Oryzias latipes: one gene and its partner. The protein of the gene in region 1 purifies or fractionates together with the protein of each later gene. This does not show direct contact. Links are inferred from orthologs where the notes say so. Each region holds a gene or a part of one and is shown in the gene's direction. Other genes may lie near its edges. The genes, in order: rnf123 and ubac1.

Evidence for each region.
Region 2: the proteins of rnf123 (region 1) and ubac1 purify together in Homo sapiens (affinity purification with mass spectrometry; 7 studies listed by BioGRID and IntAct, counting the BioPlex papers as one, with this or other methods). This does not show direct contact. The link is inferred for Oryzias latipes from reciprocal best matches to the Homo sapiens genes RNF123 and UBAC1.

The regions. Positions count from the first base shown.
Region 1 is NC_019863.2:20,427,714-20,432,120, forward strand, and holds the start of rnf123 (E3 ubiquitin-protein ligase RNF123), read left to right. Parts: upstream 1-1,535; 5' UTR 1,536-1,729; intron 1,730-1,806; 5' UTR 1,807-1,922; intron 1,923-3,182; 5' UTR 3,183-3,212; coding exon 3,213-3,294; intron 3,295-3,441; coding exon 3,442-3,526; intron 3,527-4,407. Other genes in the region: aldh4a1 (delta-1-pyrroline-5-carboxylate dehydrogenase, mitochondrial), read left to right, coding at 283-395. UniProt on the Homo sapiens protein: Catalytic subunit of the KPC complex that acts as E3 ubiquitin-protein ligase. Promotes the ubiquitination and proteasome-mediated degradation of CDKN1B which is the cyclin-dependent kinase inhibitor at the G0-G1 transition of the cell cycle.
Region 2 is NC_019867.2:2,169,293-2,173,648, forward strand, and holds the start of ubac1 (ubiquitin-associated domain-containing protein 1), read left to right. Parts: upstream 1-1,539; coding exon 1,540-1,677; intron 1,678-3,798; coding exon 3,799-3,919; intron 3,920-4,003; coding exon 4,004-4,077; intron 4,078-4,155; coding exon 4,156-4,263; intron 4,264-4,335; coding exon 4,336-4,356.

The DNA.
Region 1 (4,407 bases):
GTAGAGAATTAGAAAGAATGTAATTTTATAAACTGCAGTGGCATTGTGAAAAAGCATGAATTCCGCTTGAAAGGGCTTGAAAGTGATTTGGGAAATCAGCTGTTATTGTCCCAGCATGAATATGAAAAAAAAAAGACGAGTGTATAAATATTTCCTGATTAATGTAGTTGACTGGACAGATCTTTAAAGGGAGACTGTGGTTGGTGCAGAACTGTCCTGAAAATGCTAATCCAATCTGAGGCTGATGGCAGCAAACTGGTTCATTGATATTTTTTCTTCTAGGCACCAACGACAAACCTGGAGGTCCTCATTACGTCCTAAGGTGGACGTCTCCTCAGGTGGTGAAGCAGACGCACGTCCCCCTCAGAGACTGGAAGTACCCCTACATGGGCTGAGGTCTCTGTCAATCCATCCATCCATCCTCTTCCTCCTTCCCAGTGGGTCCCTCTCTGCACTGACTGTGACATTACCGTCCTCCTGGAGCTCAACTTCCATCCTATTTGTCGTTAAACTCCAAGTTCAAATCCTCCCCCCGTCCTGACTTGGAAGGCGCCATCCATGTTCCTTTTTCTTCAGCTGATCAGATAGCCTGATCTCTGGATGAAATCCACTGGAGCTCATTCAGCTGAAACTTCCAGAACACCCGTCTTCTGTTTGATTTGTTCTCTGTGAAAACAAAGTCGATCTACTTATAGAATTGTAGAAATAACAAATAAATAAAAACCGACATTAACTGAGTGTGTGAAAACAGAGCCTTAGATCGAAGATCTTCAATATATTACCAGAGCTGTGAGAGAAAAAAGAAGAGGGCTCATTAAACTATAGTTGATGTTGGATCCGGTGTTACGAGGGTCTGTGTTTGTCCTGCAGATATTTGGTGTTAAGACCAGCCTGTTCTCAAAAACACTTGTACTTGAATGTCTGCAGCTGAGTGTGCCTACATCAGCCTTTAAGATCATTTTTAGCAATAAATTACTATTCTTACAAGCTGTGCTTTATTCTCAGTTTCTTTGATCCTTTCAGGAAGGTTTTGGTTGAGAGACATGCCTGGATGCTCATACTTTATTAAAAATAATTTCTGTTTCAATGAATGTTTTTTGTCTATGTAATAAAAAGATCAATTGACTTAAATGCACCACTAAGATCTAAAATAATAGACCATGAGGCCACAAATAGATGAAGCTTTTATTGACCCTACGACAAGGGAAATTGATTTACCATAGGCATAAAATAAATAAAAATAAACCAACTTTTTTAACTTTTTGAAGAAAATGCTGACTGAAAATCCATAACCTGGTCAGCTTTATTGCCTAATCAAGTAGACCACTTTAGTGACAGTTTCTGTATTTTTGTTTATTGATTTGTTTTTAACTGTAGTTTAGCACTTTCATGAGCCAAGGGTCAGCAAATGTGTACCGTAAACACACTTAATTTGATTAAAATAGGTTGGAAACGTCTTTAACAGTTTTCCAATTTTGTGTGTGTTTCTAATAACACTTTCTCTATTCTCGCGTTGTTTTCTCTGACGAGATTTTAATGTTGGGGGTTTGACCCTCGCAGCTCCCCGTAGATGTGAGGCGTTGACTGCTTGGAGTGTTATTGGACCTTCTGCTCCGAACCACGGCTGCTCTCATCTTCATTTGCCTGATTCACGGACAGGGCGGCGGTGAGCGGCGGCAGCAGCACAGCTCTGTGTTCGGACGGCGGGGCGCGCCGTTTGTGGGCCGCTGTAAGTTAGCAGCGGTCACCCGCAGCTGTTAGCCTGCTTGTTTAGTTACACCGCTGTAACCGGCTGCTCGTTCGCAGCTAAACCTGACCAGACCGGGCCGGGTTTGGCTGGGCTGTGACGTGACGTGAATGTCATCCATCTGAGCTCCGTGGTGAGCTGTGGACATAAGACCGGTGGCTGTGCTCCGCCAAGGGCTAGTAGTTGCAGTGTTAGCAACCGGGACGGGTCATTGTTGTCAATGGCTACGTCACGTGACAACATTTTAGAAATATACTACTCGATTACTCTGATTTTAGTCTCAGCAGCATGTTTGACAGTCTGCTTACCACCTGTATGTCAAAAAAACAACCCGAACATCTGCCAATGTTTTTAGCTGCCTGTCATCTTCACGGTCCATCAGATGTGGGAGATAAACACGTCATAGGTGTAACTTTCCCCACACGTCAATGAATCATAAGCCTTGACATTCAAATCTAGGCTTTCAGATCCATTTTCTACAATCTTTTCTCCTAAAACATCCCATGTCTCTTCCATCAGTGAGAGATGCTCACCCAAAGCTGCAGGACGAAAACAAGCTTCATGCTTGTTCTTCTTCCAAAAATGACAAACCAGATTAACTGAAAGAGAAAAAAAAGTAAAGAGGATTCATCTATAGATTACATAAATCGATTTATTCTTTTAAAAGCAAAACTCAAATCAATCCAAATCAATAGAATACATTTTGTTAACATGTCACTGCTGCATGTTAACAGTAAGGTTCTGACATTGTGGATGTTAATGTTAAACACCTACTCCGATGACATTTGTGTTTTTGATGTTTCTAACTTGTTTTTGTGGCGTTTTTGTCACGATGGAGGACACTTGTAAAGAAAATTAAGTTTTAGATTGCATTTCTGAGTACTTCTTTATTCAAATCGGTGTGAGCGAATCAGGAGCGGACGAAATATTGCCCTTTGAAAAAGATCACATTTGTGACGTAAGAAGTATGATGGGCAGACCACAGGCTCCCTGCTCCGCTCCATTCTGATGCATGTTCTTGTAGATGTCCTCATTTTCCTCGTCTGAGCTGGTATCTGGCTGACACAGGTTTTTTTTAATTTTGGTTCAATATGGGGACAATAATTAAAAGACCTCTGTGATGAAAAGATGAATGGCGTTGGTCTATAAGGTTATAATAAAGGACTTATCCATCTCAGGACATGGATGTCAGCATCTCTGAGGAAGTCATGCACAAAAGGACTTAAAGAAAGACAGCAAAATGATTTTTTAAAAGCTCTTCAAACTATTAAATATGTTATAATGCATCAAAACTCAGTTGCTGTCAAATGTATCTCTGTGTTTTCAACTTTAAAAAGGTTCCTGTTCTTGCAGTTTCTTTCTTTCCTGTCCTTTTGAAGGAGTATTTTACTTTCTAAAGATTTTTTAAGTCCAAGCAGTTCTTTTCTGTCACCAGTGAACAGGTCAGTGGACCCCAACTGACAGAATGACCACGAGGGGGGGAGGAACCGCTCTGACGCGCCGGAACTACCGGCTGGCTTCGGACACGGACAAACCCAGAACCACCGGTACGCCAGCAGCAAGTGGGCGGGGAGTGGTAGCATCAAGGCAACAGGGATTAGATCATTTTTCAAATTCCTGCTCTCTCATCATCTTCATACATGCACAATCTCAGATGTACAACTGTGTGTTCAGGTCTTCCTTCCTTCCTGTAGGTATCGTGAACGAGAAGCTGCTCAGCGATTATCTGCATCACGTCTTTCCTTCTGCCAAACCTGGAGCTGCTCCAGCCACGCTCAGGTACCCATACCTGCTTTTCATCAGCATTTCTAGAGTATCTTTTACTCTTAAGGAGAAAGTCTCTGCCAGATCTTCATTTTTAGGAAATTAAAAGTTTAAAATTCAAACACTGGTATCGCCTTATATCAGAATCTCATTTTTTAGCAAAACTTAGTGCATCCCCTGTCAAAGTGGTCCCCAACCCCCGGGCTGCGTACCAGTTACCGGTCTGTCTCTAAACAAAGATTTATTTTGGAAATCTACTGAATTCTCTTCACCACATCCAACTCATTATCGAGGCATGTCAAGTCGCTCGGTCACGTGTTAAAAATGCATCCACTGCTTTCTTAAAGTGTCTGCGCTGACTGCTAAAGTGAAAACCCCCAAGCTAGCAAAGTTAACAAAAAACAAATATATTCGAAAAGTTTCTTTTTGCAGAAAAGAGCCAACGAGGAAACAGAAGAAGAGTCTTTGATTTCAAAATAAAAGAAAGTTAACATTGAACAAAACCAGGTGTCTTTATTCCAAATATTGAATTATTGTGACAGTTGTCGCTGTCGAGGACGCTGCTAATAGTTCTTCAAATGGTGGATTTATTTGGGGTGCTGTTTGTAAAGCTGCTGAGTTAAACATTAACAGCATTTTAGGAAAAAACAGCAACACGGGTTTCATTTTTCAAATGCATATTTTCACCATTTAATTCACGTATTGATAAATGTTACATTTACTAACTAAATATTTAGTTAGCAAGCTAAATATTTACTTTAAAGTGAATTTTATTTTTATAATTAAATATTTATAGATCTCTCCTAAATATTTATTTTAAATACTTATAACATTTGACTGCAGCTTTACAAACGGCAAAACATGGATTTACATTTATGAATATGTTTAAAAAATAT
Region 2 (4,356 bases), on another chromosome or scaffold:
GTTCTAAAATGTTCATATGAAGTTGTGAATCACCATAAAATCACTGAGAAAACTGTTGGTGAAGTTCTCCATGATGTTCTTTGTGAAATTCTCTCAAAAAAAAATCCAAGCTGTTAAAAAAAAAAAACAGCAAAATGTTTGTTTTCTTTGTCAAATTTGACTTTTCCTGAAATGTTTTTTACTTTGATTTTTATCCTGTAAAAATGTCTTGTTATAATAAATGGCACTTGCGATTCTCAAAGTGATCAGTTTGGGGTTTTTGTAGTCCTAAAAGAAACTTAAATGAGTGTTTAGTTGACGTTGTGTACTCTTGTCGTTTTTTTATTTTTTTTAATTTTTATTTGCAAATGAACAAAGCAAATAATCCGTTTTCATTAAAAGATTTCATGGTTGTCACGTGCAAAAAATCAAATTTACTGTTAAAATTAGTGATTGATAAATGTATATGACTATTGGTATCTTTAAATTATTTTAAAAGTCAAATTGATATTTTAAATCACCATTTTGTGGGCGGGACCTGCAGGTAACCGAAGAAACTAAAGGTCATTCAAAACCTACAGACTCACAGATTATCTTCTTTCTCCTCATCTTCCTCTGTGAAGATATTTTTTCCATGTCTCCATCTAGTGGCATGAATTTAAAAGCCACAATTTACCTTTTATTCACTCTGGTAAAAATAAAGTAAAATTCAGATGCAGATGAATGAAGGACTCAGTATTGAAACACCACTGAAATAGTTTAATGACTGATCATAAACAGTTAGAGTATTGTTGAAACAGGTGAATTGCTCTTAAAAAAAGTTTAAATTTCTGAAAAACAGTTAAAGTACAGGGGAAACAGTTGAACTACAGTTGGAAAAGCAATTGAAATCCTGTTTGACAATAAAACAATGAAAATAGTGCTGGAAAATCAGCTAAAGTAGTGTAAAAACAGCTGAAATGTTGTGTTAACAGCAAACATACTGTTCAGAAACAGTTACAGGATGCTGAAGACAGGTGAAATGATGTAAAAGGACTATTTGAAATTTTGAAAAGCGGTTGATTTAGTGTTTAAATAATGTTGAAAACAGCTGAGGTGCTGTTGAAATAGTTAAAAATGTTGAACTACTGTTAATTAATGTTAATTGATTCCCGTTTAACCTTTCTTTCCAATAAATTCGATAACAGTCTTAAACAAGTCCAGATTAAATAATGACTCAAAGTCCCATAATGCACCAGCACTCGTACAGTTGCGGGTCAGAGTTCAAACGTTACAGTAAAAATAGGATATTCGCTGGTTGTTGCCCTGTGTGCTTAGCGGCAAAAAACAAACAGCTTGGCGGCCTCGGAGCTCGTCCCTCGGTTGTCGCCGGTCCGAGAGTCCGAAGATGACCGCCAGCTGATCGGTGCCGTTCGGTTGTTGGTGGATTTACCCACGGCGGCTAGCTGGGGGCTCGCGCTAGCAGGCTAGCAGGCTAGCTCGCTGGGACGAGCCGAGGGGAGCAGACAGCCACCGCCGTTCGTTCGCCAGCGTCGCCGGGCCCCGAAGACCGCGGCAGCCATGTTCGTCCAGGAGGAGAAAATATTCGCGGGGAAAGTGTTGAAAATCCACATCTGCACCATGGACGGTGCGGAGTGGCTGGAGGAAGTCACGGAGGACACCACGGTGGAGAAACTGAAGGAGAAGTGCTTGAAACATGTAGGTTTGTTGGAGGTTGTTTGGGCTACTTTGTTGTTTTGTCGTGTCACTGCCCTGCCGGGGTGTTTGCTCTTTGCCCTCGGGGTAAACCGTCTCCAGCTGTGTATTTATAGTAACTGGGTAGACTCTGCTATTTATAATTGAAGAGGCTGGCAGCTTCTCTGCAGCTTCTGCAGCTAAACTGTCCTTTTCTGTCCTGCTCTATTATTACCCCGCTCACCTCTCCTCTCCTTATATGGCCCTGGCAGGAACTCAACGGGGGTCTATTATTTCTCCTTTATTAATACTTTAGATTCCTATTACTTCTGTGCTGACTGACTCCTCTTGGGTTCCCATCCAACCCACTGAATTATCGTGAAAGAAACTTTTATTTAATTCAAATTCACTCCACTCGGTGAACAAAACGTTGGTTTTTATTTATTTATACTTTTTATTCCTGGAGAATTTGGACTTTTACTCGATTATATTTATGTCAAATCAAACAGTTGTTTCCAGGTGAAGAAAGGTTTTTTTTTTTTTTTTTTTTTTAAAGTTAGTAACTAAATCTCGTTGTTGCATCAAATGAATGAGAGCAAAACAACATTTAGAAAATATCAGGAAAAAGACAAAAACGACCGACATCCGCAGCTGGTAAATGGGTAACTTTGATCACGGTAACCACGGTAACGGCAGCTTCACTGCTGGAAGAATTCAGCATCCAGAAAAACTTTGTCACTGCGTGAAGATGGGTTTTAGTGAAGATAAAACAGTGTTGGTTAGTAAAAATACCACAAGCCTGATCAATCAAACATTTATACAAGAAAGAAACACTGACAGAATAATCAATCGGTGAGTTAAATCCTATAATAGAAAATATTGAATGTTAACTCCTTCATACCTGAATTTATAAAACATATAGTCATTGTTTTGTCCTTTCCAGGTGATGGTAAATGAAGTCCTGGATTTATGGCTATGAACGGACGTCAGAGAAGGTGTAACCTAAATAAAGATATAGAATCATAGAAGTGTTGGAAAAACAACTTATTCTCAAGCTCCAACATTAAATCTGACGAATTGTTATTTGTTTTAATTTACTATTTGGACAAAATAGAAGATTTTAAAGAATTTTTTTTATTCTGTGGGTCAGTCTTAAAATTTCTAATAGAGAATGTGGTTTTATTAGTGGTTTATTTGTGCTTTATGTGCTACTTATTAGTTGTGCGACTCATCTGACAAATTTATTGGAGAAAGTTTTGATTTGGCCAAAAAATCTAGTTTCTCTTATTTTGATTTTATTCCCTATTAAACGTTTTGTTGTTGTTGCTAAAACGCTGCAGTTAAATGTAGTTTGAAAGATGATCCTCGTTGTACGTTTTACTTTCTCCACAAAAACCGTCAATTTAGTTTGTGTAAAATGGAAACTTTCAATCCTAGTTACCCTGACAGAAACATAAATAATAAGAAAATTGGAGAATAAATTAAAAAGCAATATAGTAAAAAAAACACTTTAATTTCTTTAAAGATCAGTATAGCACCTTAAAAAATAAAGTTTTTATTTATTATTTCTATGACAAACATGGTGTAGAGAAAACAAAATCATTAAAAAATAATCAAAAAACCAATGAGGTAATATTCAAATACACCTTATAAAAATTGCTTGGGTTTCCTTTTGTTTAAACAACATTTTGAGCAGCGTTTTGATATGAATGCTTTTAATTTGAAAAGACAACGTCAGCTTGGAGTTGACTTCCTCCACAACTTGCTGCCACTGAATCAGAAAACCTTTATTGTCACCGTCCGCATGAACAATGAGACTAAAGATGTCAAGATGCAAAAACTATACGGACATACATGCACACAAATGTGCACACAATATGTGGAATACAGTAATCTAGGAAAAGTCTGTTGTAAATCAAAATATTAACAGAATAATTACTGTCCATTGAATGAAAAGGTAATAAACATAATAAACAGTAGTTCTGTGACTAAAGAGCGTTGGGTCTTATTGTAATGATAAAGCGCTATATAAGAAGACGCCATTGACCCTTTAGGTTAGAATGATAAATACACAAATATACATGTACTCAACAGATACACACATTTGATTTCTTCTGTTTGTTTTTTCGTTGTTTGATTTTGCAGTACGTTCATGGAAGTCTAGAAGACCCCAAAACTCTCACCCACCACAAGCTCATCCACGCTGCTACAGAGCGAGTCCTAACGGACGCCAAAACCGTCGCTGACGAAAACCTCAAGGACAAAGGTACGCGGCGTCACGTTTGCAACCTTCTCGCTCCCGTTGCTGCTGACTTCCCATCATTTATCTGCTTTGTGCGTTTGGTTTCAGAGGTCCTGCTGCTCATAAAGAAAAGGCCGCCGCCGACGCCTCCGAAGACGGCAGAGGTTGGTTCAGATGAAAAGGTAAACGCCTTCTTTTTATGAAAAGGCTCCGCATGTTAAGCTCCTTATTAGCAGTTTTTTTTGTTCGTCTCTTCTCAGAAGAAACAGGACACCAAAGCTCCAGACAAAGACGCCATCCTGAAAGCGACCGCCAGCTTACCCACACGGCACACGGACCGCACCGTCACGCAGCACAACATCAGAGATGTGAGCGTTCAAACTCCACGGCCTCCGGGTCTGCAGCCGCCCGCCGCCTTACGCTTCCGCTCTTTGTTCCAGTTTCAAACCGAGCTGAGGAAA